Danio rerio: one gene and its partners. The protein of the gene in region 2 interacts with the protein of the main gene of each other region in a biochemical or structural test. Links are inferred from orthologs where the notes say so. Each region holds a gene or a part of one and is shown on either strand. Other genes may lie near its edges.

Region 1 (3,933 bases), on a different chromosome or scaffold from region 2:
TGTGGTCAAGAAAAAGAAACTATTATAGATCTTTTTTATCATTGTATTTACTCAAGAATATTTCAGAAATATTTGGAATTGTTTTTTAACAAAACAATGAAGCATAAGATAGAAATTTGTTTATTCGATGGGCTGTTTTATTCTGATAACGAGAACTTGAACTGTAAAGGACAACATATTTTTAATTTGTTTATGTTAGGAAAATACCAAATACATAAGAAAAAGTGGGCTCAGTGTAAACCAAACTTTTCCCATTTTCTGAATGACTTCAAATTATATATAAATCTTTAATTACAATCACAAAACAAAAAGCACTGAAAACATGTAATGCTCTGAAAACATTTTTCATGTAAATGTGTTTTTATTTATTTATTTTCGATATTTTTCTCTTTCAGAAAGCTATGTGAAATGTATATCTTGTTCTTGTGGCATTAATAAAACCAAAGAAAAAGAAGAATTTGGCCATTTGAATGACATAAAAATAAAACACAATATACTACTACTAATAATAATAATGTAGAGCTTCACGATTTTTGTAGTCTCTCTGGTAAAAAAGTAGGCCTACATTTGGAAAACCATGGACAACAACAAAAGCAAAATTGGTATTCAAATTATTAGGCTGCTGGTGCTTCACACCTTTTTATCGAATCGATCACTTTTTGTTTCAAAAATAAAAGTCACTTGTGCAATGTTTTCTTTATTTAAAAACAGTACAGTAGCAAAAAGATGACTTCACTTCATCAGAGTGTATTGTTTCTCGCACAGCTGGAGTTTTAGTGTTGGCTAAAACTGATTAGCTGAAGTCACAACAACCTTTTTCAATGCATGGGTTATTTTCACAATGTATGATGGCGTAGCATTCAAAATAGTACACATGAGCTCGTATGATCCAAATTCTGGATGCGGTTTGCCAGAATATACCCTGACCATCCTGACCGTCTTTCGAACCACCCGAGCCCTCCCCCTGGCCTGGCTACGGGACTGTTGTTCATGCGTCAGTCTGTTGTGCAAACGGAAGTGTTTCACATATGGGCGCATAGCAACGGACAGACGTGCCCACTGGCCATAGCAACTTGTACTTCCGGATTTTCGATGCTAATTGATAAAGCTACCATGAGCTTCCGGGTCAAACCGTAGCTGTCCGTTTTTTCCTGCAGCAGCACGGGGGGGATTGGTCCGGAAAACCCGAACCCCGCTAACAAGCACAGCACTGCACGGGATTATAAACGTTTTTCGCGATTCCTGCATAACGGCTACGCACGCGACGTCACTGTGACACGGTTTTTAGCGGAGATCAGTTAAACATCGATCTCGAGTCCACCGCCTCCCGTTCTCTCTCTCTCCGTCTCTCTCTCTCTCTCTCTCTAACCAGTCAATATCCAGCTTAGGCACTGGTTAGTTAAATTCTACTCACTCACCGTGGACTATATTTTGCAACGCCACTTACTCCAGACTGAGAGGAATCACATCCTGGCGCTTTTTGTTTTTCTTCTCGGTTCTCTATGCTTTGGATTTAGGGATTTGGGGCCCCTTTGGGGTGGTGGGGGGGTTTAACCCACAATAATTAGATTTAAACAAACCCCCCCGCCTACTATCTATTTTTAAACTTTTCACAAAACTTCAACACATTCAGATCGGAAATAGACGTCGCATTCGCACTGCCGGAGCATTTCACAGACTATCCACCATTCATTTTCAACCCTCTCGGAGCTCCAGGCGGTCAGAGCGCCGCTGACAAGCCGGGGAACGAGCGCTGCTCAGCGGCCAACGCGCTTTATCTTTTCCGCCGCTGCTATCAGATATCGCACGCCTCAATCGGATACAATCACATCTCCTGGCTGGTCTGCCTATAATCGCTGATCTTTCGTTTGTGTGTGTGTGAGTTTGTGTGTTTGCGCGTTTATCTCTTATTTTATTTTATTTTTGCGTGTTTTGGTTTGGATTTGGAGATTTCTCGTACACCCTGAGCCCCGTCACGCGCCATGCCCGGCCCGGTGGCCGGTAGTAAGTCTCGGGTGTATGCCGATGTCAACACTTTGAAGAGCAGGGAATACTGGGACTATGAGGCCCACGTGCCCACCTGGAGGTGAGAGATTAAGCTATAAAAAGCCCGAGTGCATCATCATCCAATGTTGTGTGTCTCAAAACCAGCTGCCTATATCCGTGCGCGTTTTGCGTGTGTCTGCTGCTTTCCTTTGCGCAGTGGTTCACATTGTAGGTTCGCTATCGATCGTGCTGGGAAAGTCATCAATCTGCGATCGAGCAGCCCCTGTTTGAGCTGCTGCTGATGATGATGATGAGAGGATGACATGAACGGATTTACAGATGCAGCGTTAGAGAGAGCTGTGTGTGTGTGTGTCCTCTTCAGCAACCACAGATTTTATGCAAATGCACTCATTCCCTCAAGTGTGCAATGCACATCTAGTAATTACCATTCTAAACCAGTGCACTAATAGAACATTTAGTGGTTTTAATGGTTGGATTCCTCTGAAGGAGTTAATGTGTTTCTGTTTTGCACGGTGCACATATATAATTACAAGCTTGATGAATGCGCTGTCATTATTTATTAGGGTTTTTTTTTTGTGTTTTTTCCCCCGTAGAATATGGAATTATAATACTTTAGCATTTTTCATGTAATTCTACATTTAAGGAACTCATCATGGTATAGTTCACCCAAAATGAGCATTCTGTCACCATTTACTCACGCTTGTTCTTAACATTTATGAGTTTCTCCTGTTGAACACAAGATAACATGTTTTGAAAGAACTCAAAAACTGGCAATATTCATAGTAGGAACTAAAGTACTATAGAAGTCGTAAATTCTTCAAAATATCTTCATTTGTGTCTGTCTGTCTATCATCTGTCGTTCTATCTTTCTGTCATTCTATCTACCGTTCTATATGTTGTTCTTTCTATCTATCTGTCTGTCTTTCTGTCGTTCTATCTTTGGTTCTAGCCATCTAATTTTCTATCTAGCCATATTGATTTATCTATCGTGCAATCTGTCTATCATTATGCCTATCATACTACCTGTCTAATGTTCTATCTATCTATCTATCTATCTATCTATCTATCTATCTATCTATCTATCTATCTATCTATCTATCTATCTATCTATCTATCTATCTATCTATCTATCTATATGTCTGTCTGTCTGTCTGTCTGTCTGTCTGTCTGTCTCTCTGCCTGCCTGCCTGCCTGCCTGCCTGCCTGTCTGTCGTTCTATCTATGGTTCTAGCCATCTAATTTTGTCTATCTAGCCATGTTGATTTATATATTTTGCAATCTGTCTATCATTTTATCTTTCTGTCATCATACTATCTATCTATCTATCTATCTATCTATCTATCTATCTATCTATCTATCTATCTATCTATCTATCTATCTATCTATCTATCTATCTATCTATCTATCTATCTATCTATCTATCTATCTATCTATCTATCTATCTATCTATCTGTCTGTCTGTCCTGCCTGCCTGCCTGCCTGCCTGCCTGCCTGCCTGCCTGCCGTCTATCCATCTATCTATCGTTCTATCTATATCTGTCTGTCTGTCCATTTGTCTATTGCATAATCATAGTATCTCTATCTATCTATCTATCTATCTATCTATCTATCTATCTATCTATCTATCTATCTATCTATCTATCTATCTATCTATCTATCTATCTATCCATCCATCCATCCATCCATCCATCCATCCATCCATCCATCCATCCATCCATCCATCCATCCATCCATCCATCCATCCATCCATCCATCCATCCATCCATCCATCCATCCATCCATCCATCCATCCATCCATCCATCCATCCATCCATCCATCCATCCATCCATCCATCCATCCATAGCATTTTTCATATAGGTCTTCATTCATGGAACTGATCATGTTGACTAACATAACACTTTAATGGTTATTTTAGTTGTGATTCA
Region 2 (4,923 bases):
TTGCGTGAGACAAAAGGGTAGTCATTTTTTCAAAGTTGACATTCACACAATTTGGACTTGACTTGTTATACTTGTTCTGAAGTGTTTTGCATAGTCCCTTATAACATAAACCTCAAAATATATTTTACAATAACATTGCTTTTACCATTGACTAGACCATGACAGATCTGTGCTTTACAAGCATCTTTTTCTACCTCAAAATCTGCTGACACTGAACTGTATGTCTTTAAAACATACAAGTTCATAACATTATTATGAATACAAAATTCATTGCATCAATTCGTATGTTTGTTGCACTTTTTAAGAGAGGACAAAACTTAAATATAATCTATACAATATTATGTAGCTAATGTGAAATTTATCATGGATAAAATACAAAAATGATAACAAAATAATAAAACTTGTTTATCTACTGCTAGTACCTACTACATTCAGTTGACACAGTGGATGCAGTTTACATTGTGACTGAACTTCTAGTTGACATTACTTTTAACGAGATATCAAAGTTATAAACACATTTTTTATTTATTTATTAAAAACAAGAAAGTTGATGCATTTAGATCTCCAAAGTAGGACCTGCTGTGCTGGCTAATGTTGGCCCATGGTAACCTTTGATTTGTCTCGCCAACCCATTTGAGAAGAAAGGGAGAATTGAGGAGGGTTCTGAGATTGTCATTTAAAATTAAATGTAACCCTTTGTTTGTTTGTTTATTTGTTTTATTGTTAAAGCCTAACTGAAATTGAATGTTTCAATTAAATGGTGTAAATTACTCAGATTTTGTTTAAATGTGCATACTGTCACCCGGCAATGCAGAGATTTTGGTGAGCAAATCAAATCAAAGGCAAATTGTGCTTGACTTCTGTATTCATATTCATTTAAGTTTTATTGCAATAATGTTTTCTTTTAAAAATGTATACTGCATTAGTTAATACAATTTAATGTAACATTTATTTTGTACACAAAGTAACAATTATTTGGAAATATTATGAAACAAATCACTCATGGCAACTTTAATGTAATGTAGTTTGGTATATTTACCATCGGCCACGGCTCTCAGTGATGTTTGGTTTTAGGCCCTTCTTACGAAAATGTTTAGGCACCACTGGTCTTGTAGCATACGAGCTTTATTCTAGAATATTCTGACAGATGGCGCTCTACAATAAGGATTTGCTGTCTGAAACGCAGCTAGAACTTTCCACCTCCGTTTCGTCCTTGGGGCAAAATCCACATCTGAGCAAACGTAACAGAACACGCCTATAACACAAATACATAATTAAATACAATTAGCATCACAGGTGGGCGCAATTAATTTCTATAATTTAATGTACAGGTATCTGGTAATATGATTGTGCCTCTGTGCAGTAACTTACTTTTCTGCTGGCGTAAGCATTTCAGTAATTTCCTGCAGGGTAGTCGAGGCACTGGTGAGAGGGGTACATAACTTACGTGCATTCTGATATTTTCTCCGTGTTCAGAAGTGGGACTAAAATAAACGTAGGTTGTACCTTTCAGTTATTGTGTGGCAAGCCAATTAGAGTTTGTTTCATAAAAGGAAACGACAATGTTGGAGCGGAACACCTACATAACTGACTTGAAATCTGATATAAAATATTGGAACTTGGCTCATTTCTGTAGACACGTGACCGTGGAACAAAACGTAGTCCGACTGTGTATTAGTGCGCTCGCAGTAACCCTAACATTAGATAGTTGATATATTACTTAATTTAACGCCATGTCAGCTCAACAAGAATGCTTTAAAATAAGTATATTTATATACTAGGATGCAAAAACATATTTGTTGTTGACATAAAATGAAATAGCCGTAGAACTATTTGCCAATGCGGATGAATATGTCGTCCGAACGTCATCTTTTTTCAATGGGAAGCCATGATGGAAGTTTGAGAGTGTAACAGGCAGTGGAGCAGTGGAGGATAAGGACAGAACCGGAGGTGTCTCTTACGCCACATTTAAATATCGAGTTTTTCATTTCTTGGTGGAGGCTGTCACATTTTGTTTCATGTGTTGGAACCTGGTCATCGCGGATTGTCGTAGAGTTTAATGGCTTTTATTTTCTAAGGATGTGTAGACGGGCTAGCGCGTTAGCCGTTGAGGCTAGACGGAGCGCGAGCTGAGTGCGAGCGGGGCTCTGACGACCGATCTTCAAGTGGAAGCACCGGAGAGGATTTTCTCTCCGCCTTTCCGCTCAATCACGGCGGCTTCGGTGCGACCAGAGACTTGTCGTGCACTAGAGATTCTGCAGTTCCAGACGTGGGAAGTTGCTTATCTTTTCACCCAGGGCTCGTCTGAGCCGAGGAGGGCATTTTGGAAGCCGGGCCTGTGGTGGTTTGGAGCGAGGCCCTTGATGAGTGAGCCACAGCAGACTCCATTCTAGCTAGCTGGGGGACTGCGAAACGAGCAGAGCATAAAGACGACCGACCGTCCGAAAGCAACAATACTCTCTCTCACACTAAAAACCCTAAAGACTCCTGTCACAGCCATGGCTGCGATCATAAAGGAATTTGTCAGTAGAAATAAAAGGAGATACCAAGAAGACGGGTTCGACTTGGACTTGACATGTATCCTCTTTGATCAATCAAATGTCCCTGTTCTGTCTATTGTGTTGAAACCAGTGTCGGCAATGAAGGTAACGGCTTGCATCTTGTTCCAAATCAAGAAATCTCTGACGTCCCGTCCGAATATAAAAAGCTATGAGCATTTATTTACATTTTTTGCTTTTCCCTTTTTATAGGAACTATTGACTGAGTCCCCGATTGTACATGATGTGATCTAGATCAGTTGGTTTCTGTTCCTGCATCAGCTCAACGCCGTTTAGATTAATGTCAGTTGTTAATTTATCCACGTTATCGAGCCGTCGTTTCATTTATACGGTTATTTTAGGCTTGTCTGCAAGTTACATGTGACGACTACAATATAAGCAACTCCAGTGAGGTCATAAAATGTCATTTTCCTCATTTTACGTAATCTGATCTATCGATTGACCGCTAATCTGCAATCTAACTCCCAAAATGTTTACATTTCAGATCAAGACAGTTTGGGGGTTAATAACAAAAGACGCGTCGCAGGTTTATATAATGCGATGGATTAGATGAAATGCACAAGCAGTGTCACACAAAGAGCATTGCATCAGCTGCTCGCAGAAAATAGATGCTTGCGCTCAACTTGTAGTTTTGATTGACCAAAAAAAAAAAAAAAAACAAGTCCGTTCACACGCAGGCGAACAAAAGGAAATGCTTTAGTATGTGAAATATGCCTTTTTGTAATCGCAGGAAGGGATTCGTGCAGTGCAGCGCTTTATATTAGAAGCGTCATTGACGTTTGTTCCCCCGTTTGTGCAATATGTCAACGTCATTTGACAATTTCAAGCACAGGTATTGTATGCATATACGTTATTTGGCTTGTGATCGTTGCTTTCAGGCAGTAGCTTTATATCCTGGTTGATGAAGTGTTAAAGCACGAGAGGTCTGGTTTTATTTCAGCAGGTTTCAGTGTTATTGAAGATCCTTTTGATGGAGCTTTACCGCCAAGTCTGATGTTTATCTACAGTCCATTGTCCTTTTATATAACTCTTAGCTGTTCTGTAATATAAACTCGCATATAAGATTAATTTATATATAAGAATAATATTTATATATAAGACATTAACAAAGACTAGAAGGATAGATAGAGGGCAGGATCAATACATTCAAGATGAGCAATAAATTCACTTTTCAATAGCATTAAGAGTATGCCATGCCTTTGCATGTTTTGATAATCGTTCAATTTTTAGCATATGCATACATTGAACAAGGTCTAGTGTATTACATGAGCCATCCTGTAAATGAATTGATCGCATGGACATTGATTTGCCCCAGCCTGCTCAGATGGTGTGTGGGTCACTATATTGACCCATTGCATTGCATCATGCAATGCACTTATTGCGTTTAAAACACACTGTCAGGAATAAATTTTAAGAATGACTTCATTCTTTCAGTCCACTTTTGCTATAATGATAAAGCAATGCTATCTATGGCAAAGATCAGTGAGAATACACACTTTTAACTTTACAATTCTTATCACACATCAGAAAGATCGTTAACTAGACATACACATTTAATCTGTCTAAGATCAGTGAGAATATATACTTTTCACTTTACAATTCTTATCATAGATCAGGAACGAATGCAAACTAGACATACACTATCTTTTTTTTACTTTAAAATATGTAAAGTTAGTCTAGATTACACTAAAATCAGTATAGAGAGTTTCAAGATGAAGAAAACTGGCCTTACTAACACTAGACCGCTATTGTTCTTGCATGTACACAGCGCTGAACCAAAAAGGTTTAAATTCAGCATTCTGTTTGATCCCTTTATATCAATAATTGGTTAATTTAGAGTTGTTTTTATTTTAAATTTAAAGAATGTTTGAGCTTTTATGCTAATATACTTTATAGTGTGCCATGAATTAATTGCAATCTTAAATTTCCCATTGATTCCTGTAAGACTTTAACATCTCATTAAAGATAGCTGAGGTTGTGTAGGTAGTAAGTTGGCAGCTCAACAATATAACATGCAGAACTTTGTATTATGTTAGTGATGTAAAGTGAATGGCTCTCCAACTTTGAGTCTCACACTTTTTTGTTTATAACCATATCTGTTGTGGCTAGTGTAGGGTACAATGGTTGCTTCATTCAGTGCAGTTTTCTTTTTTTTTCAGTGTTATGTGTGGAATGTATGTTAAGAGATACAGACTCTTTCATTTGTTGGCAAGAAAGTTATTCTGATTTAAAGTTTGATAGTATTGTGCATATCTTTGAAAGCTAGATAACTTGGGAATGTGTGTTTTGATATTTGGTCTAGCAATTTATATAGGAACGTTTTTGCGTGTTTGATAAGGCGCTTGAATTTACTAAAGTTCTTTGC
Region 3 (4,255 bases), on a different chromosome or scaffold from region 2:
TAACTAAAAAATTATTTATTTATATATATATATATATATATATATATATATATATATATATATATATATATATATATATATATATATATATATATAAAAAAAAAGTTATCAATAAACGTTGGTAAAATTAAATAAATTTTTTTTGTTTTCTCCTGAATTTAATTCAAACTGTACTTTGTAATAAATTGTAATAACTTAAATTTAGATGCATTCTGTATAGTTCTAAAGATGTTTGTGACCAAGCCCTTTAATGGACATAATGGATTGATAAAACCGGTTCAAAATGCACAAAAATAGTTATATTCTGGTGATACAAATAAAAATATTAATTGTCAAAATGTTGTACGCAATTATGCGGTGCACTGCATAGGCTATAGATTTATCATAGTCATTACAACTGAGTAATAACTAGGTATTATCCTTAAACCTACCCATGAATCTAACCTTACCTCCCATAGTTACCTCAAATAATAAAGTATGTTCTTATGAAAGAACTCCAGTAAAACATACTGTAAAGTGCAACTTAAAAAGATTGAGCTTCCCTTTTGTCATTTACGTAGTCAAACCTTTACCAGTTTATTAAATTTTGAACTTGTCTTAACTTCACATTCACTGCACAACACTTCTCGTGTGGTGTATGACTGTCTAATGCTAGCCTTTCACTTAACATCTATAATAAAGCCCAATTGTGAAAGCACTCACCCTTTTTCCTGAGCTCTGGCTTGCCTTTCTTCACTGTGGCCATAACCATGTCACCCACACCGGCGGAAGGCAGCCTGTTCAGACGACCCTTGATGCCTTTGACGGAAATGATGTACAGGTTCTTGGCACCTAAGTGAGAGAAAAGGCAGAGTTGAGTAAATGAACTTGTAATTGGCATATTCAATGCCGTTGAGCTAAGTTCAGCATGTCTGCTGACCCTCAGCTGATTGGAAATAAGAAAAAGCAAAGATTTGTTCCATCACGGATTGAGATTAAACAGCATGTGGAGACTGCCATCTCACCCAAGAGTAATGGGGTTCACTTTTTCCTTCCACGACAACTCACCCAGCCACTGAGCAGACGAAGCAAGTGCTTTTAAGAAGGACAAGAAGCTCAAATAATTTACAGACTGAAACCAGATTGAACTGCAAAACTTAAAGTAATTGGCCTTAAGTAATCTTCCGAACTGCTGCTTCAACAGCACTTCAATGTTATGCTAGAAACTATACACAAGACAAGCATTCACACCAGCTCTTGTAAAAATTAAAGTTTAAATTAAAATAGTCAAAGCAATACAAATGTTACTGTTGGACTAAATGTACTTCAATTAACTTAAAGGATTTTTTAAGCTGAAGTTTCAACAATTTTTTAATAAGAACTTGAAGGCCAATTCAGACTACAACAGACCATTTTAGTTGACCAATGACTTCTGCAAGAACGTTCTGAATTTGGTTCCTGTTTAATCAGGTAATGTCTGAAAAGTGACATGCTGTGACATGGTGACCATCCATGTTTGTTTAGGTCTCAAACATCCGTCACTGTGGTTTGAACTGTCCAAGTTAAGTTATGAAATGTTCATGCCTTGGTTTCTAACAATTTCAAACCATTAAAAATATGAGTTTAAGAAGAAATATAAACCAAGCAATACTTAGAAAAATGAAAATCTGGAATAAATTATTTCAGTTGGTCTCATCAACGAAGGCAAGTTTCTTACCTGTGTTGTCAGCGCAGTTGATGACCGCTCCCACTGGGAGACCCAGTGAGATGCGGAACTTGGCTCCCGATGACCCACCACGTCCTAAACAGGAGGACCAAAATTAATAAAATTCACAAAAACAGCAAAACCACCAAAATACAGACTAGGTTTAAATTTTAGATAATACATGAATAGCACACTGGCTAAATTAACCTGACTCCATAAATCTATCAAAACACTTGATGTTTTGATTTTGCATATCTACAACAAAAACTTGCCAAAGTAGCAACAATTCATTCATTCACTTCCAATTATGAAATAAAACATTGAAAAAAAAAAAAAACAATTGAAACTGTCAACACCAGTAACTATAGATGCATTAAAAGTTAAATGAAAACGAATGAAGACAACTTATTCTGCCTAGACTTGTCAACTTGATAAATTAAATGACACAAGCTTTGAACTTGTGCAGAATAATGTCTGGTACGGAATTATTTCCCTAACTTACACCTTTAAGTGTGTACCTGTCGATACAGTTGCAAGTGAACAGACGTTTGCTGCCGGACAAGCTTGACTCCACACAACACAAACGCAATATTTACGATGACAACATTTCAAGGAGAATTTCTGGTGTGGAAGCCCGTTGTGCACTGGTTTAATAGTGCACGTTTACACGTTAGCCTGACATACAATCGTGCGACTACACTTTCCACCATTCAGACGAGCGTCTACCGGTTTCACCGCATATTGTAGAATTAACTACTCACAAATGCTGCTCTTCACTGATTTTAAATGGCTGCTATCATAAAGCTCTACTCCAAAACTTGCTTACGAACAAAACGGTTCAAATATGAAGAGTTCCAACATCCCACCACTGGCTCCACGAGCTTCACTCTGCGTACTTAGCAAACATGGCTTCTCTTGCTAGCGGAAAGTGTACATTTCTGTTTTAATCCAAGTTAAAATTCAGAATTGACATCAATATGGGTGAAATACACATCCTCCATGATCATATAAACCTGTGCTTTACTTTAGGGGGCTTAAATGCTCCTCATTTTAAGGATGATTGCGGATTTTCATGTGTGTTTCTTACCTCTCTTAGACATAGTCGCTGAAAGGGAAAGAGGAAGAGACAGAAAGGAATGATGGGATATAAGCGTGCGCGCACCACAGACTTCACAGCTTCCGGCGTCACGTCATCGTCATAACTAAAGCATCGCCATCTAGTGTGTCGTATGTATGACTTGATTCACTTCAGCATCTCATGGTAATATTACAAAACTAGAATTTTCTAAAAGTGCCAAACTCAGTTCCTGGAGGACTGCAGCTCTGCGCAGTCTAGATCCAACCCTGCTTTGTTTGGTACACTTACCTGGGGGTTTAAAGCAAGTCTGAAGGACTTAATTAGTTTGATCAGGTGTGTTTAATTAGGGTTAAAGTTGAACTGTGCAAATCTGCAGCTATGGAGTCAATATAGGGCCATATATATATATATATATATATATATATATATATATATATATATATATATATATATATATATATATATATATATATATATATATATATATATATATATATATAAAGTGCAAAGGGAAAGTACATTTTTGAGAAATAAAAATTTGGTTTGTTAACTGCAAAGGGAAAAATTCAATTATTGCATATATATTGACTACATAGCAGCCCTCCAGAAACTGTTTGACACCTGTGAATCCAAATAAAGGAATACATATTGATCAGTAATCAATAAAATTATTTTTCATATTCCATAGTGTGGTATGTATTGTATTTAAAAAATAAATAAATAAATATATATATATATATATATATATATATATATATATATATATATATATATATATATATATATATATATATATATATATATATATATATATATATTAAATGCCAATCATGACATTCCAACGTATGTTATTCCCAGACAACAACCACTGAAAATGTATAAATGTATATATGTGCGTGTTGAATGTACTGTATGTATGTGTGTGTGTGTGTGTGTGTGTGTGTGTGTGTGTGTGTGTGTGTGTTTACTGTTATTGACTGCTTGGCACCTTTTGGTGACTAAATCTTAAGAGCTGTTTGTTGAAAAAAAAAAAGAGTAAACTTTTAGTGAACTTTACAATTAGTTAAATAACCAGTAAAATTTTACAGCTCAGATCAATATTATGTATCTAATTGTTTACTTTTGTGGCATTCAGCTGTATAGGCTGGACAATGTACATGCCTCCAGTTGTTTTCACAGAATATAATAATGTTAGAATAATGAGAAAGGGAAAACATGCTTAAACCTGAGTTGATTTTAATACATGATACATTTTCAGTTTACCAGCCCTTTAAAAATGGCCATTTCTCAGTGCATGCTAAAGTTACTGTCTATATGACCAATTACATTTTTGTAGAGAACTATTATAACTTTGCTATAAATGTATGACATGTAATGTATGTTGTACAATGTGTTAGAATATACACTGAAACTATTAAAGAAATGAATCATTCACCCCAAAATGAAAATTTGCTGTTAATTTATGGATCTCTCAGACTAGACAAGTTGTGATG
Region 4 (4,086 bases), on a different chromosome or scaffold from region 2:
TCTATAACCCAGTTAAAACATAAAAAAAAAACATAAAAACAAATGTTATTGTAAGAAAGATAATTAAACCATGTGTTTATAAATATAGATTCAGTAAACATAATTAATAAACAAGAGTTATTAAAGGGCACCTATGATGAAAATCATCTTTTGGACAGAACTGTGTGTAGGTATAGTGTGTTCACAGTCATATTGGGGTGATATAAAGACAATAAGCCTCTATTTTTTTAATTTCCTGACGTTAAAATAGGATCCAAATCCCCTCCATTTTGAGGCCGACCACAACGTGACATAGGAGTGAGGTTTCCCCGTCCACAGAATTGACTGACAGCCGTGAATTAACATCCATAGTAATGCGTTTAATCATATCAACAAGACAGGACGTGCGCAAAGCAACTGGGATTAAAAGATCTGTTCAGCTCTCTGTGATCATCAGTCATCATCAAATATGATAAAGAATAAGTTTTACAAGTTTAAAACGTTTTTAAAACAGTGCATGTTTGTAATAAAGTAGGTTAAAGATGGTAAAATCGCATTAATTCATCACCGCAGCCGCATATCAGTACAATTGTAAAAGAAGGCGCTTCAATCCCGGTTTGTGGACGTTAAATAAGCTTTATTTTGTACATTAACATAACGGATATCAGCTATACAGCAGTGGATATTAGCATGTACCCTGTCACATTTGCGTGCAAAAACAGAGCAAAGTTAAACGCGTGAGCTGTGTGTGTGTGTGTCTGTGTGTGAACTTTGTAAGGACACTGTGTGTGACTCGTTGTTGCAGAAAGGCTTGAATTAACTCCACAACAAATACATCCAATAATCATTGGGAAAGTTCTTACTGTAGTGTTTCTCACAAACCTTACGTGAGGTCTGCTTCCTTCATATCTGTAACTGTGCTGTTTATCTGACAAAGCCAGAGATGAGGACACTGACAATTTGCCATCGTAATGGCATCATCGGGGGGGTAGGGTTGTCCGGTTATATATGTTTGTGAAAAGCGGGGGGTTGGGGTTTGGGGACAGAGACGGAGTTTGACAGAGTGTGCGCGATGTGTGTGAAGAGCGAGGAGGGATCCGAGAGTCTCAAAGCAGTTGTGGGAGACTCCCGGAACTTCCGGGAGACTTGGGATGTCTAAATATCACGTTTAACAACTACAGTGAGACGCAATCCAGCGGTACATCCTTCATAAACTGTCTGACATGCTCTGCTCACTGAAGCTCAAACGAGCGCATGATAGTGTGTGTGTGTGTGTGGCTGTCTGTGTGTGTTTTCAGCGGACGGAGGGCTGTTCAGAAATGCTGGGTAAAACACGGTGTGGATGTGGATCATTTTCGTTCTAAAATGCCATTTTAACACTAAGACGTATTAATGTAAACAGGGCCTAAGTGTGTGTTTATCGCGAGCGGATTTGCGACGAGGGCAATCGTGTTGTCTATTGGCCATCAGCGATGGACAACGGCATCATCTATCGGCCCAACCCTACTACATAGTGTTCAGAGCGGACAGTCCCAATAGTCTGAAAGGTCTCATAAATAATCAGAAGTGTTTTGAGCTGAAACGTTACAGACAGACTCTGGAGACACAAAAGACTTCTCTTAAATCTTGAAAAAGGGGTAAAATAGGTGCCTTTTAAATAAACTTTTGTTAAAACTTTTATTGAGATGGAAGGATTGAAGGATGTTGGTCTGATTGGGCAGGTTTACATGAATACAGGAAAATTAAGACCTGTTTAACATGATTTAGGACTTACAATACAATGTTTCAGTGAATTTAGGGCCTAAAAGTTTGGATTTTGAGACATTTTAAGACCCCCACGGACACCCTGTAGAATGGAACAAAACTATTTACCGACATATGTACACATTTATTTAACAACATACTCAGTTTACATGTCAATTTGCACATAATATAGCTTTACACACATTATTGCCTAATGTAATATGCATTTGTTTTCTCTATTTACTTATTTAATTCCTTTATTATCAGTGTTTTTGTCCTGTCACTGCCATTTTGATACACTCTTCTGTCACAAAAGCAAACTCCTTGTATGTAAAATCTTACCTGGCAGTGGCAATAAAGCTCTTTCTGCTTCCATATGGAGATACATCCTAATCTAATTATCTTCAAGCACTTGTTTTAACACACATGTTGTTGTTATAAGCAATAAAATGCATAATAATACGATCCTGCATTAGGATCCAGTATAATGTGTGCTGAATATTTGAGACCAGCAGCTCAGGTGTGTGTGTGTGTGTGTGTGTTGATGTACCTGATGGTGTGTCTCTCTCTCCACGTTCTCGCCGTTCACCTCCACCACACGGTCACCCGCGCGCAGTCCCGACGCCTCCGCCGGGGACGCGCGTTCCACTTTCCGTATGTACTGTCCGGTTTTTCCTTTCTCTCCGTGCAGATGAAACCCATAGCCGTTCTCTCCTTTCTTCATTACGCACAAGCGAGGCTTCAAATCGCTTGCCATTGTATTCCGCCGTTGCCTTCACATTCACAAACTTGCAACACAATCCATGCGCGATTTCCCAAGCAAAGAAAAATAAATAAATAAAGCGGAAACTTACGTAAAATGCATTCGCAAAGGTTTATAAACGCGCATCGCTGCCGTATGCCGATGTGTTTACAATAACGCGCATGCAACAATTAAAACAGATATGAAGGCAGAAGACTCTCGTGTCCAAAAGCGCTCGCGAGGAATTACATGCAAAAGTGATAGCGCTAAAAGCAGACTGTGCAACTACCTGTGGATGTTCACAGACGCATCCAAAACTCCTCCATGAGACATTCTGCCCACAGAGAGAGAGAGAGAGAGAGAGAGAGAGAGAGAGAGAGAGAAATGCTGTCCACTGAGAAACTGCGTGGCGTGAAAAAAGACCGCCCATAAATAAGCGACAATACAGATGAGCAGAGAAAGAGGCTTATTTGACCCTCATTAATGTATGTAAACAATGTCAAATAGCAGTTATTGATTAAGGAATCATGTATGTTTATTTTTTTACATAATTTTTATGAACAACTGGTAAAAACTAAATGGGAAAAAATATATATGCACATACATGCAGTACCCATGCATATAAACAGAATTATTAGCCCTATCCCCCAATCTTTGCCATGATGACAGTAAAAAATATTTGACTGGATATTTTTCAAGACACTTCTATACAGCTTAGTGACATTTAAAGGCTTAACTAATTAAGTTGGGGTAATTAGGCAAGTCATTGTATAACAGTGGTTTGTTCTGTAGACTATCGAGAAAAAATATAGCTTAAAGGGGCTAATAATTTTGACCTTCAAATGGTTTTAAAAAAATTAAAAACTGCTTTTATTCTGGCCGACATAAAACAAACAAGACTTTCTCCAGAAGAAAAAATATTATCTGACATACTGTGAAAATTTCCTCGCTCTCTTAAACATCATTTGGGAAATATTTTAAAAAGACAACAAAAAAAAAAGAAAAATTCAAAGGGGGGCTAATAATTCTGACTTCAACTGTAAATATTTATGTAAATGTAGATATTACACACACACACACACGTATATATATATATATATATATATATATATATATATATATATATATATATATATATATATATATATATATATATATATAATAACTTAACCAGTTGTGTTAAATATTTGGTCCTTTGTTTGGTCATGTTTAACCTTTATTTGGTTATTTATTTTATTTGGATATATATTTTTATTTGGTTATCTACATTAATAACTCAACCAGTTGGGTTAAAATTTTTAATTTCAACAGTCAACTGATTTAACTGACACAGAACAGCTGTATTCTTTTAATAGTTTTGTATTTTTCTATTTTAATATTTTTGAAAACTGTAGGTTATTTACACAGCCATAATTATAAAAGTATAGTAGTAGTAATAGTAGCAATAGTAATACCAGAATGGAAAAGATAACATTTAGTTGGGTGTATATATTCAGTTGAAGTCAGAATTATAAACCCCCTTTGATTTTTAAATATTTGCCAGATGATGTTTAACAGAGCAAGGAAATTTCCACAGCATGTCTGCTAATATTTTTTCTTCTGGAGAAAGTCTTAATTGTTTG

Evidence for each region. The genes of interacting proteins can lie anywhere in the genome.
Region 1: the proteins of ptenb (region 2) and csnk2a2b form a complex in vitro, tested with the Homo sapiens proteins (2 studies listed by BioGRID, with this or other methods). The link is inferred for Danio rerio from reciprocal best matches to the Homo sapiens genes PTEN and CSNK2A2.
Region 3: the proteins of ptenb (region 2) and rpl23 form a complex in vitro, tested with the Homo sapiens proteins (2 studies listed by BioGRID). The link is inferred for Danio rerio from reciprocal best matches to the Homo sapiens genes PTEN and RPL23.
Region 4: the proteins of ptenb (region 2) and Na(+)/H(+) exchange regulatory cofactor NHE-RF2 form a complex in vitro, tested with the Homo sapiens proteins (2 studies listed by BioGRID and IntAct, with this or other methods). The link is inferred for Danio rerio from reciprocal best matches to the Homo sapiens genes PTEN and NHERF2.

What each region holds. Positions count from the first base shown.
Region 1 is NC_133200.1:14,587,696-14,591,628, reverse strand, and holds the start of csnk2a2b (casein kinase II subunit alpha'), read left to right. Parts: upstream 1-1,133; 5' UTR 1,134-1,982; coding exon 1,983-2,086; intron 2,087-3,933.
Region 2 is NC_133187.1:19,018,085-19,023,007, reverse strand, and holds the start of ptenb (phosphatidylinositol 3,4,5-trisphosphate 3-phosphatase and dual-specificity protein phosphatase PTEN), read left to right. Parts: upstream 1-1,875; 5' UTR 1,876-2,498; coding exon 2,499-2,577; exon of another isoform or gene 2,578-2,645; intron 2,646-3,090; exon of another isoform or gene 3,091-3,390; intron 3,391-4,923. UniProt on the Homo sapiens protein: Dual-specificity protein phosphatase, dephosphorylating tyrosine-, serine- and threonine-phosphorylated proteins.
Region 3 is NC_133178.1:32,233,304-32,237,558, forward strand, and holds the start of rpl23 (large ribosomal subunit protein uL14), read right to left. Parts: upstream 2,801-4,255; 5' UTR 2,785-2,800; coding exon 2,772-2,784; intron 1,781-2,771; coding exon 1,697-1,780; intron 832-1,696; coding exon 703-831; intron 1-702.
Region 4 is NC_133178.1:11,799,130-11,803,215, reverse strand, and holds the start of Na(+)/H(+) exchange regulatory cofactor NHE-RF2, read right to left. Parts: upstream 2,801-4,086; 5' UTR 2,480-2,800; coding exon 2,273-2,479; intron 1-2,272.